Caenorhabditis elegans: one gene and its partner. The protein of the gene in region 1 purifies or fractionates together with the protein of each later gene. This does not show direct contact. Each region holds a gene or a part of one and is shown on either strand. Other genes may lie near its edges.

What was found. Proteins that work in one complex are often made in the same cells at the same time.
Region 2: the proteins of ZK354.7 (region 1) and F13G3.6 fractionate together in Caenorhabditis elegans (co-fractionation; one large-scale study listed by BioGRID). This does not show direct contact.

Annotation. Positions count from the first base shown.
Region 1 is NC_003282.8:5,299,575-5,306,926, forward strand, and holds ZK354.7 (Major sperm protein), read right to left. Parts: upstream 3,557-7,352; 5' UTR 3,505-3,556; coding exon 3,430-3,504; intron 3,167-3,429; coding exon 2,567-3,166; 3' UTR 2,504-2,566; downstream 1-2,503. Other genes in the region: ZK354.8 (Protein-tyrosine phosphatase), read right to left, coding at 4,463-4,504, 4,550-4,802, 4,851-5,014, 5,064-5,289, 5,392-5,619, 5,689-6,017, 6,243-6,433, 6,480-6,498; ZK354.9 (Serine/threonine-protein phosphatase), read right to left, coding at 7,025-7,081, 7,315-7,352.
Region 2 is NC_003279.8:7,300,424-7,308,106, reverse strand, and holds F13G3.6 (Glycosyltransferase 2-like domain-containing protein), read left to right. Parts: upstream 1-3,416; 5' UTR 3,417-3,419; coding exon 3,420-3,539; intron 3,540-3,589; coding exon 3,590-3,863; intron 3,864-3,910; coding exon 3,911-4,164; intron 4,165-4,236; coding exon 4,237-4,406; intron 4,407-4,457; coding exon 4,458-4,595; intron 4,596-4,644; coding exon 4,645-4,762; 3' UTR 4,763-4,807; downstream 4,808-7,683. Other genes in the region: mrpl-13 (Ribosomal protein L13), read right to left, coding at 69-155, 199-363, 898-990; F13G3.7 (SLC (SoLute Carrier) homolog), read right to left, coding at 1,411-1,527, 1,687-1,758, 1,805-1,957, 2,005-2,104, 2,154-2,277, 2,323-2,545, 2,593-2,910, 2,951-2,965; Inositol monophosphatase ttx-7, read left to right, coding at 5,138-5,215, 5,418-5,554, 5,668-5,772, 5,881-6,035, 6,080-6,200, 6,681-6,942; dylt-1 (DYnein Light chain (Tctex type)), read left to right, coding at 7,213-7,254, 7,357-7,564.

The DNA of each region.
Region 1 (7,352 bases):
TTTTTAAAAAGTTAGTTTGAAGCCAGATATTAATTTTCGAAGTACAGTGCGTGCAACTTCTATAGCGCCCCCTATTTTTTTCGTGTTTCGTCACTTTCCCAAACTTTCTTGAGAAAACCATTATAGCCATTCGATTTCAAATGTCAAAAAAACCCCCTGTCCGAAGTTTTCATGAAAAAATATCAAAGACTACGGTAATTAGGTCAAAAAGTCTGAAAAACGACCGTGCAACTTCTATAGCGCTCCCTCGAATTTTCGCTATTTTTCAATAAAATGCCTAGTTTTATGAGATTTCTGAAAAGGATATAGTATTATATATTAAGAAAAATGATCATAAGGTCTCATTTTTCAATTTTCAACAGAAATATATTACGTGAAAACTTCTGGGATCCCAAGAGTGGTCTGAAACGCTTCACTTTGCGTTAGTGGCCAGTTCTCGGCTCCCACTGCATGTATTGATACGAAACGTGACCGAAATTTTCATTTTGATTTACTGATAATGTTTCAATAAGTTGTCATAAAATTTGGTCAATATGGGCCAGGTTGACAGCCCAAGTTAATAGTAAGGCTAGTAACCAATCAGTTGTTCTATCGATAAAACTCATCTGAGGCATGTCAGAGAATGGATGTGCGTCTTTTCTGGTAGACAAGATATCCATTCAATTAACTATTTAAAACAAATTTTGTCCGGATCGAAAAATGTTGGAAAATGATCGGTAAAATTCGAGAAATATCCCTCAAACAAATTAACAGGTGTAGAAACACTGGGCGGGTCTGTTTCCCGTGGTTCCGCGCGTTTCATTCGAGATCGAACGACAAAAGAACTGTCGAAGTGTTCAGAGGGGTCACAGAACTTGCATCCGAACTTAATATTTCAAAGTGTTTGTTAAAAACTAAAAATTCACCCAAAAACCTGCGGGCAGTGAACTCGCCCAGTTTTGATGTATGTGCAAATTTTTTAAAGGAGATCTCCTGCATTGGACCAATCATTTTTCAAAAGTTTTTTGTTCGAATAACACTTATAAAAATTTCAACAATGAATATGAAGCTTTTCTACCAGAAATGAACCGCGTCCAATCTCTGGCACGTCGCAAAAATCTGTTCTAGAGAGAAAAACTGATTTCCTCACAATGAGCAGCGCTATCTACCTTACCTATCTCCACCGAATTTAATATCAACCTTTCAAAATATCTTTAGTGAACAAAATTAAATGATTAGTTCAAGTTTCGTATCAATACATGCAGTGGGAGCCGAGAACTGGCCACTAACGCAAAGTGAAGCGTTTCAGACCACTCTTGGGATCCCAGAAGTTTTCACGTAATATATTTCTGTTGAAAATTGAAAAATGAGACCTTATGATCATTTTTCTTAATATATAATACTATATCCTTTTCAGAAATCTCATAAAACTAGGTATTTTATTGAAAAATAGCGAAAATTCGAGGGAGCGCTATAGAAGCTGCACGGTCGTTTTTCAGACTTTTTGACCTAATTACCGTAGTCTTTGATATTTTTTCATGAAAACTTCGGACAGGGGGTTTTTTGACATTTGAAATCGAATGGCTATAATGGTTTTCTCAAGAAAGTTTGGGAAAGTGACGAAACACGAAAAAAATAGGGAGCGCTATAGAAGTTGCACGCACTGTATGATGAATCTATTAATTCCTTATTCCATTCTTTTTTAAAATGTGATCAAAAAATAGGCCTGAAAATTTACTTTTTCCGCTTGAACTCGACGGTTATAAAAGTTTTTGAAATGATGTTTTCAAATTCTGAAAAAGCACAAAATTTGCAACAAAATGGCTACGGGGATTTTCAAAAAAGTTAGTTTGAAGCCAGATATTAATTTTCAAAGTATGGTAAATCTATTAATTCCCTTATCCATTCTTTTTTAAAATGTGCTCCAAAAATAGGCCTGAAAATTTACTTTTTCGCTTGAATTCGGCGGTAACAAAAGTTTTTGAAATGTCAGTATTAAATTCTGAAAGAGCACAAAATTTGCAACAAAATGGCTACGGAGATTTTCAAAAAAGTTAGTTTGAAGCCAGATATTAATTTTCAAAGTATGGTAAATCTATTAATTCCCTTATCCATTCTTTTTTTAAATGTGCTCCAAAAATAGGCCTGAAAATTTACTTTTTCGCTTGAATTCGGCGGTAACGAAAGTTTTTGAAATGCCAGTATTAAATTCTGAAAGAGCACAGAATTTGCAACAAAATGGCTACGGAGATTTTCAAAAAAGTTAGTTTGAAGCCAGATATTAGTTTTCAAAGTTGTTGTCTCTAGATACTCTATAATGACCTGCTAAGCCAATCTAGAGCCACCCGGACAGAGAGTATACAACCTCTGACCTGCGTGAGACGGTGTACTTCTAAAGATCACAGAAATTTTTTATCGATATAGAAGGCCGGGAGTATATTATTTACCGCAAAACAGTTTTGAAAACCGCGCTGATTTCAAATTTAACAAAAAAAATTATTTTTCTGGATTAAAATATAAGAGCAACAGAGGAAAACATTCATTGAAGAAACTTTATTCGAGATTAAAAAGTTCACATAATTTTTTTTTATTTCTTTGCCTCTTCAACCTTCTTTTCCTCTTTCTTTTCATCCTTCTTTTCTTCCTTCTTTTCTTCCTTATTCTCATCGTTTTTCTCCTCTTTCTTCTCCTCTTTCTTCTCCTCTTTTTTCTCCTCTTTCTTCTCCTCTTTCTTCTCTTCTTTCTTCTCTTCTTTCTTTGCTTCCTTTTTGTCATCCTTTTTGTCTTCTTTCTTTTCCTCTTTCTTCTCCTCTTTCTTTTCTTCTTTCTTCTCATCCTTTTTTTCATCTCCTTTCTCGTCACCTTTTTTAAATGAAATGTAAATGCGTTTCATTCCATCTGGCTTATGATTCTTCCATGCGTCACGAGCAGGTCCGTCTTCCTTTGTTTTAATGTAGTAGAATGCAAAGTACTGCTTATTGTTTTCTGGAATCGCTTTTCCTGGATTGTGGCACAACGGTATATCAATGGTTTCATCTGGTTTGATATAGCCGACTGGTGTTTTGATTTTGAACAAATCATTCGAAGTGCATTTGACTTTAAAAGCACACTTGTCCGTCGTAGGATTTGTCATTTTCAACACCGTTGTTGTGACCTCATCACCAAGTTTTGCATTTGAAAATAACACCTGAAATTTAAATGTTTATTTTAATTTTTTATGACACTTGCTAATAACACCAAAAACAAAAAAACTCCAGTAAGTTTGGACTAGGGCTGACAAACCGGACGTCCAAGACAAAATTCATAGCAATGGTCCAAAAAAATTTAAAAACTTCTGTATCATCTCAAAAACAGGTATCTTACTGCCCAGAGTCCGGGAAGAGGACGCCCGGTTTAGTCCGATTTAGTCCGGCTTGCTAGCAATAGTTTGGACCAATTCATGATACTCACTGTTTCAGCGCTCAGCTTGAGAATAAAATTTTCAGTTTCCTTGGTTTCCTTTTCATCTTTTTTCTTCTCTGCCATCTTCAGTATTTCGTATCTTCGAAGCGAACTTGAAAGTGGATATTCAACGATGAAATAATAAATTTATCTGATTGAAACTCTCTTATTTTATATAGAAACGTTTCACGTGACACATCAATTATTTATTTGGAATTTTTACAAAGCTTTTAAAGTTTAAAATCACGGAAATTTATTATTTTATCAAAAAAAAACAAATTTTAAATATATTCAAATTAGTTACGCGTTTTCAGTGCCAATGGTCTGTCCGGGTGGACCTCCGGGATGTTCTGGTCATCCTGGCCACCCTGGTGAAGACGGATCAGCTGGACAACCTGGAAGCCCCGAAGGAGTCGGTGTATCGTTACCATATAATGGATGTATTCAATGTCCTATGGGACCACAAGGACAACCTGTAAAACCAGGGTTAACGGGGGCATCCTGGAGATGTGGTAGTTACTGGAATGAATGGAATACCTAGAGGAAGAGGTCTTCCAAGATATCCATGAATGCCAGGGGACAATGGATCGAGCGGAGCTAATGAAGAATCGGGAGAGTAGGGCCTCCTGGACCAGATGTTGGTTATCCCATGTCTGGGAGCCAGGGGCTTCTGGGTCGCAAGGAAAAACAGGTCAACCGGGTGGACATGGAGTTGATGGGCATCCTGGAAGGGTTTAACTCTGAAAACCGAACTTTCTTTTTACATTTCTAGTCTTTTCGACCATCAATCATTGTTCTAATAAGTTGTAGGTGTGCAGTGAAGGTCATTTGCATACCTGCACAATTAAAGATGCTCTTCTCTTCTCTCGCACTAATGTTCTCTCAGAAGTATTAGCACTGTCTGAAAGTTACACTTGTTCCCGTTTTCATATGACTGCAGAAGATTTAATTTCACATTATAAATTCAGTTGATATTCAGAAAACCAAAACAAATCTAGTAGAATTTTTTATTCCATATTTCAAGCAAATCAAGATCATATTCCTAAGCTTCTTTTGGGCACATTGCAAGTGCTTGCTCGTAATCCTGAAAACCAAATGTTAAGCATTAGAATCCGAATAATAGACAAACCTTGGCGAATTTGGCAAAATCTTCGCGAGATTGAACATACTTCTTCAGTGCCAAATATTCCAGGACGCATCGATGAGCGTACAAATATTGCATTTCAGTTTGGACTGCTCTGAAACGCTCCTCTCGAAGTTTTGCCAGAAGGCGTGGAACTCCAATGAAATCCGGAAGACAAATTGACTCGAGGATAATCAAAATGAGAGCAAGTGTGCCAGTTCGACCGACGCCAGCGGAGCAGTGTACAACTATTGGTTTTCTGAAAATGAGATAATTATAAAGTGATTTTCAAAGAAATTAAACTTACGTGCAATTCTTGACAACAGTCAACAAACGGAACGGTGACAGAAAATTGTCGGGAACACCGTGATCAGGCCAATTGCGCCAGTGTATGTGCTTCACAATTTTGACAACTGCATTGTCTCCGGGCTTCGAAATACGCATTGTTGACATCACCAGAGTTTTATCGATCTGAAAAATAAGAACTTATTCATTGAAAATTAAATGTTTGAACTCTTACATCTACCCTGGATTCCTTGGTAACCGTGCACAGTCTCCCGATCTTTGTTGTTTGTCCAATTTGGCTTGGAAAGTATTCTGCGCTTTTTGGCTTCCCCTTCTCAACCAGCTCGCATAGCATCACAATGTACTCGATCCCTGTCACAATGATCATCTTCCAAAACTCTTCAATTGTGCCGTTTAACGGTGCTTGTGTGCAAATGAAGCGTCGTGGATTCGGTCCAGAACTGAAAATAACAAATTGTTCATGTAATTTTGCGATATGTATTAAGTACACTCTGTGGCGTCACAGAATGTATTCCAACTGCTGCAAATGGGATTTTCTTTACCTGACTAAGTTTGCGTGGATGTAGAAATGAGGATCGTCAGTCAACTTGACACGTGTGATGTCACAACACGGGATGTTCCGATATCGATTGCGTGTCGGATTCCCCAAGAAACTCGTTGCAATATCCTCTGGCGCTTCGTTTGGACTGTCACGGTATTCCTTTTTGAGGCCAGCCACTCCATTTTGCAACACCAGACGAATCCAACTACAGATGACTTCGGTCCGTTTCCTGAAAAATATAAAGTATTTTTTGTTTTGAAATTATAGTTTTCGATTTATGTGTGCAAAAAATAATTACTTTTTATCGGAACCGCCGGTTTCATCAACCGATTTCTCGTCTGTTTTCTCCTTTGATGGTCTTCTAATTGCAATATCTGCACCAGGAGATGGCGACTGCAGAAGTGGTTGAGCCATCGACGGTGGAATTGCTGGAGCCGGAGACATTCTTGGCAGTTGTGAGTTGATGACAGGTGGCTGCGGCGGTTGAGCACTTGTTGCAAGTTGTGGTGGAGGTTGATGAGGTGCCACTGGTGGTGGTGGTGGTGGTGGATCAGATGGTGGTGGCAGCATCATCGTTTTCATCGCGACTTCTGGCTCTTGCTTTGCAATTATCTGAGGAAGTGTCGGCTGAAATTTATTACTTGATATTTCACCAGGTCGAGGCGCGACATGGGCGATTTTCATTCTGGACTGAAACCGGACTAAACCAGCGTCCGGCTTGCCGGATTCGGTGGGTTCCGTTGTTACGATTCTGTTTTTCAAAACTTCGAAACAGATTTATCATTTCTCAATTATTCAAACAACCGAGCGCCCAGTTTGCCAGCCTAACCAGCGCATAGTTAATTCCCATACCGTTGGCTGTTGAGCAATCTGAGCCGTGGTCTTCTTCGGAGTTGGAACAATTTCATTGTTGGTTGCCTCCTCTTGCTCAATTGATTGCATCACACTTCTCTCGTTCTTACTACGCTCATTCACACTGACGACACTTATCTTGCTGGGACGCTTATTCAATTTGCTCACTTTTTTCTTCGCACCAGTAGATTCTGAAAATAACGCTATTATGAGGGGACAATTAAAATTTTAACTTACTTTTCGGTTTTGGTGGCATTTTGCTTAGACTTCGGTTGATTTCTACGAAGAGTCAGACTGTATCTGAATACTATACAGCAATAAACTGATTCGAAGTTCTGCTTTATCGAAAGATGGTTTTTACAATAAAAACACGGTTTATTAGTTCACGCGAGAATATTCTTTACAGTTATTTAAATAAGTGTTTTTGTGTTTTTCTTCTGATTACTGTTTATTCTCTATTTGTGCATAAAATCCTAAAAAAATCTTTTCGAATATATTTTCAGGTTGACAGTGGAGGTGGATTGATTCCTGTAAATTTTTCAACTTTTCCTGTTAATTACCCAAAATCACCCTGATTTAAGGGGACACACAAAATCCATGAAAGGGAAGAACATACAACAAGTTCATGAAATGAGAGAGAGAGAGAAAAGTGAGTGGATGGAACTGAGTAAACAATAATATCTATGCACTACTACTGGAGAAAGGAACAATCACGAAAATGTGTTTATATCACTGGAAATTCGAGACAGAAGAAAAGTTCAATACATTCGAGGAATCATACACTAGCTGGCCGCTGGCATCATACGGCGTCTCGCAATTTTCTTTCTGGGACGGAGAACCTGAAAATAGATTAGATGAATTTTTAATTAGGAGAAGAGTGGAATAGATAATAGAGTCAAAAATAGGTATATGAAGACTACATCGTAGTTAATAAGAACCAAGATAATGCAACAAGAATAATCTTGAATCTAGCTCTTGGTCGGAATATTGCGTTTTTACACTTATAGCTAGAGTTACTTATACTTGATCAAACAGTCTCAACCATACTTCTGAAACTTCCCCAAAAACTCACCACAAACGAACAGACAAGATTCTTATTGACATACATCA
Region 2 (7,683 bases), on another chromosome or scaffold:
TTTTTCAAAAATACTTCAAAACTTAAAAAAATTGGATGACATAAATTACAAAATAAAAATACACTCACCCTATAAACCGATAAAAAAGCTATTCTGCATTGATCGTAATCGTGAATCTGCCATGCTGGAATATCAGCTTTACTTTTTGGATATTCCTGCAAAAGAATTGATAATTTCTATAAAAGCAGCAAAAATCACCATATTGAACTTATAAATTGTGTGTTTCCAGTCAAATGCATGCATTGCAATATCTTTGCAGTTTGTAACAACTACATGATCTCCACAATCAGTTTCTGGATGGAAAATTGGTTTGTGTTTCCCTGCGAGATATCGAGCAACTTTATCACCAAGAAGTTCGGCGTCCTGGAATTAAATATGAAATAAAAATAAATATATTCATGTTGTTATTATGTTTTTCTGTTATTCGAATGTACATTTTTGTTTTCTGGTAATTTTTTTTTACAAAAATGGACTTTTTCGATTTTTTTTCCAGATTGTTCAGAGGAAAAAATTGAAGAGAGAATGCGATTTTCTGTAGTTTTCAAGATTAAAAAAATTAAACTTTAAAATAATCGTGCCAAATTGGGTTTTGGCGGACTTACGACATTATAATATAAGTGGAAAAAACTGAGTAATTACTACAATTTGCGTGCTAATAAAATAAATTCAGGAATTTTTTGAAAAGCTTTACTATTGTGTTTGGTCATTGTTGAATTATTTTTTATCAGTGAGCAATAATTTGTATTATTTGAATAACTATGTGTATTAGAAAGGATTGCACTTATATTATTACTTAACACTTCCATTTGTCAACAACATGTTTTCCCATTTGATCGTCGACATGTTTACGTTCAAACATTCAAAAAAACAAAACAAGAGGCTTAAAGGTATACATACTTGTTGATTCGCATCAATCACGTGCCATTGTCTCGAAAACTGCAGCCATTGGTTAACACGGTCAAATCGAGAAACGGCACGCCGGTAGGACATCTGATTGTTTGTAAATGATTTTCAAAATGTAATTTCAACGAATAAATGATATAATAAAGATATTAGAGGAAATTTACCTCAAAAGGAAAAATCAAAAAGAAAAAGCAAACATCAAAGGATTTATACTCGAAAATGAGAAGGGACCGAACCAGAATAGTGAGAAAAAAAAGAATATTAAAGAAACAATTACAAAAAAAAAAGAAAAGTTCATAGAACAGAATTCGAAGAGAGCGGAAAGAAGGAATTTGGGGTGATATGATCACACAAAATTTACAATTTTGGACAGCATCTAATAATCTTCTAGGAGAAACGAAAGCGGTGTTGCATTGCTGCAAAATAAGAAATCTTAGATTATTTTTTTGGATGAAAGTATGAATACACGTGTGTGAGCAGTAAAAATTCGAAAATGAGCAGGTGCGATCACCAGACGATTTTGTTTTTAAACTCGGGCAGAACTGAGAACCGTTTGACACTTTCATAGGCAAGCATTACAAGACTTGAATAGAGAGCATTATTCACCATACGCGGTGCGAGACCCTGAAATATTAAAAACATATATAAATGTATTTAACTAATATTTTTCGTGAGCTCAGCATATTTTACGGATACTTATTTGAAGCAAAAAAATGGTGTAAACATGTTGATTTCTGAGCTCATTTTCTAAATTTGGTATATCTTGATTTGGCAAAACCATACCTTGGTGAATACTTGTGCTTTCTCATACTTCCATAGTCTAACAATCGTTTCCCTGTACGTTGTTCGATGAACCTGAAAATATTTTAATTTCATTGAATTAGATTACTAAAATTCTTACCTGTAACCGAATTCTCAGCATCTCCAATGGATTTGTAACCATTGCACTAGCGACTCCGCCAATAGAACCGCTCACAGCTTGGTCCAGGAACAAATTCCGATCATCAACTTCGGAAGGAGATGTTGGTTTCACTCCATATTCAAGTTCAGTGACCTGAATTAATAATTGACTTAATTCAGTTTAGCATAACTTTAACCTACTTTTTCACGAATCATTCTGAACACTGCTAATGAATTGTAATATGTAGACCAGAAAACCATTGTTGAAGGAATATACAACATGATTGCGGATAGGAATCCTCTGAAATTTTAAAATATGTCATAATTGAAACTGTAAAATATAAAAATACCTATAAAAACCGAAAATTCCATCAACTTTGTACACGGCCCTGATAACTCTCAAACCTAACGTTCTTCTGCCTTCGAGACCATCTTTTCTGATTGCATCTGCTACTGGTATATTCTTCTCTCCACCTAAATTATATTCTTCAGAGCAAACATTTCAAAAAAGCGATTTACCTCCAAATGCTTCTGGATTATTATGAACCATCATATGTTGAGCCACAATGTCAGTTGGTACAAATATTAGCTGTGCACAAGGAGAAGCGATTCCTCCGGCTAATGCAGATACCACAGAGTGATTAGTAATATGAAGATGGGTTTGAAGCAAGTCTCTGACTCTTTCATAAGCTGATGAATATAAAAATGAAGCTGACAGCTGGGGAAGTGTCATCCAGAATCCCTGAAATATTTTAAATTTCAATAAAACATCCGGTAACTAAAACTAACTTTATACAAAGCGCCGATTCCTTCTTGACGAATGATTTTAACAAATGCATCTCGCATTCCGTTATACACATTATTTTGTCTCTGTAGTTGTAGTCTGCTCTTCACAACAGACATTGGATACAGCATGCACCTGATTGTCCATGAACTGCACAGAGCCATTGGATAGAATTTGTACAAGTTGAGATGTTCCCATTGAATTACTAAAAGCTTGTCCTTCTGTATTTGACTCAGTGGAGATACTTTCGAGTTTAGCGGGGATGTTGCTATTGACCGAGCCTCAATCGCGGTGTCCATTTCAGACGAAACCATCTGTAACATCTTATGAACATTAGAACTTTTAATATCGGATAGAGCATACCTTTGCGAACCGCATGTTCTAATTTTAAAATCAAATAGTCGATCGTTTGGTCTTCAAGGCAAAAACGAGCAAAGTGTGAGAATCGGCTTAGAATTGAGCATCACCTGGAGAGTTTTTTCGAAGGAACTTCAAGCGGATATTTTGATAATCTGACTAAAACAGGAAAATACGTATTTTTTAAAATTTTATAGAAAAATAGACAGATGGAGAGAAAAACATCAACAAAGAACGAGTAGTTTAAAAATGTTCACCAACAAAAAAGAGGCACCGCATTACGGCGAGGGAGTGTGCTATTGAGAGAGACACAGCGTCGTAAGAACGGAGCATCGTAATGCGCCTTGTTTATTTTTATTCAAAGTTTAAAATTCCATTTTAATGTTTTGTTTTCCGTTTTCGGTAACGCTCTTTCAGCTTTTATGAATTTTTTCGTTTTATAGTTGGTTATTGTTCAATTGAATGTTTATAGGGTATGATGAACTATCAATATGACGTCTCTGTCATAATTCCAGCCAAAAATGTAGAAAAGTTCTTGCGGGAAACACTCAACGGTCTACTCGACCAGACAGCTTGTGAAAATTCAAAAATTGAGGTTAGAAATGCGTATGGTTTTGTTTCTTCTAATTAATAAAAATATCTCAGATTTGTTTGGCTGACGACGGGAGTGTAGATGACACTGTTAGAATTCTGGAAAATGCGCGGCTCGAGTTCGAAGAGATGGGAATGAATGTCGTTGTTACACACGTTCCTCAACCCGGTGGAGTTGGTGCCGCTAAGGATTGTGCTGTAAGATCTTCGAAAGGAAGATATCTCTGTTTCAATGATGCAGATGATGTCAGCTCTCCGAACAGAATCAAAAGCCAATTGGAGTTGGCAACGAAGTTATCGAAGTCTGGAGATGATTTAATTTTTGTAGGTGAATAAATTGAAGTTAAGTATAATACGATCCTAACTGTTTGTTAGGTGGACAGTTTCATAGACTACCAGAAGGCTCCACAACAAGATACACAAAATGGGCGAACTCGATGATCGGAGACAAAATCAGAAGTCAAGTCTACACATCTCATGGTCCCACGCTCGTTGCTCCTACTTGGTTCATTAGTAGAGCACTTTTCGATAAGGTTGGCGGTTTTCGAACAGATGTTTCGTGTGGTTTTCCTGAAGACTTAGAATTTTTCTACAAGTGCTTGGATTTCCCGGAGTGTATTTTTGATAAAGTAAGTAAATTGGCAATTTTAGCTGGAAAGTTAGCTTGAAAAAAATTCATTTCAAAATGTGTGTTATTTCAGGTCGATGATGACATTGTCATGTACCGATACCATAAAAACTGTGCATCACACAGCGTTCAAGAACAAACAATTTGGAATTTCCGTTTATCGAGATTAAAAGAGAAATACATCGCAAAATGGGACAAATTCACAATCTGGAGTGCTGGGAAGCAAGGAAAACGTCTTTTCAAGTAATGGTTTATGCTTGAAAACATTCTTTCAACATATACTACATTCTTTAGAAGTCTCACAGATGACGAGAAGATCAAAGTCAGAGAATTTTGCGATATTGATGAGTCAAAAATCGGGAGAGGTGTTCATGAAGAGTTTGATGAAGTGTCACGCAGTGTGACTCACAAAGTTCCAATTGTTAACCTTGAGTATGTCTTCACTTTCTCAGTTTCTTACTAAACGTATTATTTGTTTTAGAAATGCCAGGCCTCCGCTCGTCGTTTGTGTCAAATTGGACTTGACAAATGGTGATTTGGAGCGTATAATTGAACGAAAAGGCTGGAAAGAGCACGTCGACTTGGTTTACTTTGGTTGACAGACTGCTATCCGATACTTGATATAATAAACAATTTATCCGTTTAAATTTTGCATTTTGCGTTGTCTCATTGGTTCTCAGTGACTCCAATGTACTTTGATGTTGCAAATTTTTGTGTCTGGTCATTTTTCTCCCTCGTCGTTATCATTTTTCCTAACAGAACATGGGAAGAGATTACTAGGTGTCTCTGCGTCTCGTGTCTCCGAGTGATCTCTAATTTTCTCGCTCCGTCTGCTCGCGTCGTTGGAAAAACGACTCTGGCGCGAGTTAGTTTTCCTAATAGACGGCTTCTCCGTTTAGCTTCTTTAATTTATTTTATTGTTTTTCGGCAAAGTGGTTCCCTTCAGCTCTTTATTCATTGATTTTAAGTTTTAGATGGTGTTCCAACCAATCCACGAGGAAGAGCAAGTTTTCGTCGACTACGCCATTGAGTTGGTTAAAAAAGCTGGAACGGTGAGTTGAATTCGGATTAAAAAATCAAACTGTTTCCTAAAACAACAACGTCGTTATTATCTTTGTCTTATTTTTGTTAATTTTACAAATATGCACATTTAAATCAAATGCGTAACTCGAAAAACAACATTCTCTATTCCTCAGTTACGAAACAAATTTTATTATTTGAAAAAACATCAATATTCGAAAAAAACATTTTCAGCTCGTCCGTACCGCGTTTGACTCCCCGGAAAGCAAGGTTGACACAAAATCATCGAATACTGATTTGGTGACTGAAACTGACCAAGCTGTTGAAAAGCTTCTCATCGAAGGGCTCTCCGAGAGATTCAAAGGACATAGGTAAGAGCAAGGAATTCCCACGGTCCGCTCGATTTCACTCATTGTCTCCATGACAACCAGTTGGACTTTCTTTTTCAATCGAGTATTTACATAAATTTACTATTTTGATTCAGATTCATTGGCGAGGAATCTGTAGCCGGAGGTGCGAAAATTGAATGGACTGATGCACCAACATGGATTATTGATCCGATTGATGGAACTACTAACTTTGTTCATAGGTAAGATTTTTTTTAAATCGGACTCTTCAAATAATGGCAAATCGCGTTATTTAATTTCTAATTTGGACTCAAATTTTTCTCGAAAAACAAATTCTTATGTTATTATAGAATCCCTATGATCGCAATCTGCGTTGGACTTGCAATCAAAAAACAAATTCGTGCTGGAATCGTATACAATCCAATCACTAATGAACTTTATCTCGCTCAACTCGGAAAGGGAGCTTTCAAAAATGGATTTCCAATCCGAGCATCAAAGAATCAATGTAAGTAATTGCACTTTTCTTGTCATGCACCCTGCTTTTTGAAGTGCTTTCAAAGGGAGTTCTCTGTCAATCTCTCGGTCTGCATAATCGTGTTCAGTTCGGCGATCGCTGGCTCGACATTGCCCAGTCAAACATGCGAAATCAAGTGATGGCTGGTGTGCGAGGGTTTGTTTTAATTTTTTGGTCTAAAATTGATTACTTTTTTACAAAAAATATACCTCCACACTTCCCGCGCTGGTTTTGCACGTTTTACTTTCAATTTTATTTACATTCACATAGAAACGTTGCAAATTCCAGTCATTGCGGAAAGTGTGCTCATACTTCAACTTGGCTCAATTCGATCTCCTGTTATGCAGAAATCATTTGTTGATTCTTACAAGACTGTTATGTTCGACAAACAATGTCACGGGTACTTATAAATATTTTTTATATTCTTGTCGAAATCTAGTGACTTTCTTGAACTGTGCGTTTGCAAATTTTTTGAAAGTTTTACTAAAATTGAGAAATGGATAAGATGGAAAAGTTAGATGTTGGATGGACAAAGTTTAATATGAAAAAAATCACGAGGATGATGTGATATTATTATTTTTAATATTGTTATACATAATAAAAGTTATTTGAAAAAAATCCAAGTTTTTTTTTCAGACACCGTTCGTTTGGCTCCGCCGCGATCAACATGGTGATGGTTGCACAAGGAAGTTGCGATGGATATGTTGAATACGGGATTCACGCTTGGGATGTTGCTGCTCCTTCTATCATTGTCACAGAAGCCGGAGGTGTTGTCACTGATCCAACTGGATCCCCATTTGACGTCATGTCAAGAAAAGTTCTCTGCGCTGGAACAGCTGAACTCGGACGCGATTTATCTGCATGCCTCACTCATGTCGATTTCGAGCCGGAAGCCTAAATATATATTTAACTATTTATTTTCAAAACTCACATATTGTGACATAACATTCCTACCATAACATGCATTATCTGTATTTCCAATTTAATATTAGTTTTTTGATTTTATTTTCTAGTCGTATGTATTCTCGTTTTATGAGAATAAATTATTTAAAGATGTTTATATCTTAATTTCTGATACTTCAATTGCCGTTTGAGCGCACTTGATTTATTTATACTGTCTCTTTTTTAATAATTAAACTCAATATTCAGCTCTCACAAGCTCAACATCATGGCTTTGGCAGAGGAGGACGTTCACATGATCATCAAGCAGGTACCGATATTTTATATGTCTACTGTATTAATTCTTTGAAAAACTATAATTTTTGAGTTGATTATTGTTTATTCACATTCTCGTAATCCAATAATCTTTCAGGTACTCGACGAGGTTGTAGGCGCAAGCACCCAGTATACCCACAAGGACAGTGTTCAGTGGAATCAGAAGGCCGTCGAACAAATAACGAAGAAGCTAGTGGCAGCGGGAAAACCATACAAATATGTGGTTACCTCGTCGTTCCTTCAGATCTCGAGCGGTTCCGGTCTCAATGTTAGCACGATTTCCTACTGGAATAAAGTCACGGATTGTGAGTTAACATTTTGTATTAAAACATTAAATAATAAAGAGGGAAATAAATTTATTACTCACAAAGTTCTGATTTTGAAAGTTGGTATTCAACTTATAGCTCAAAAAATCTCATTTTCA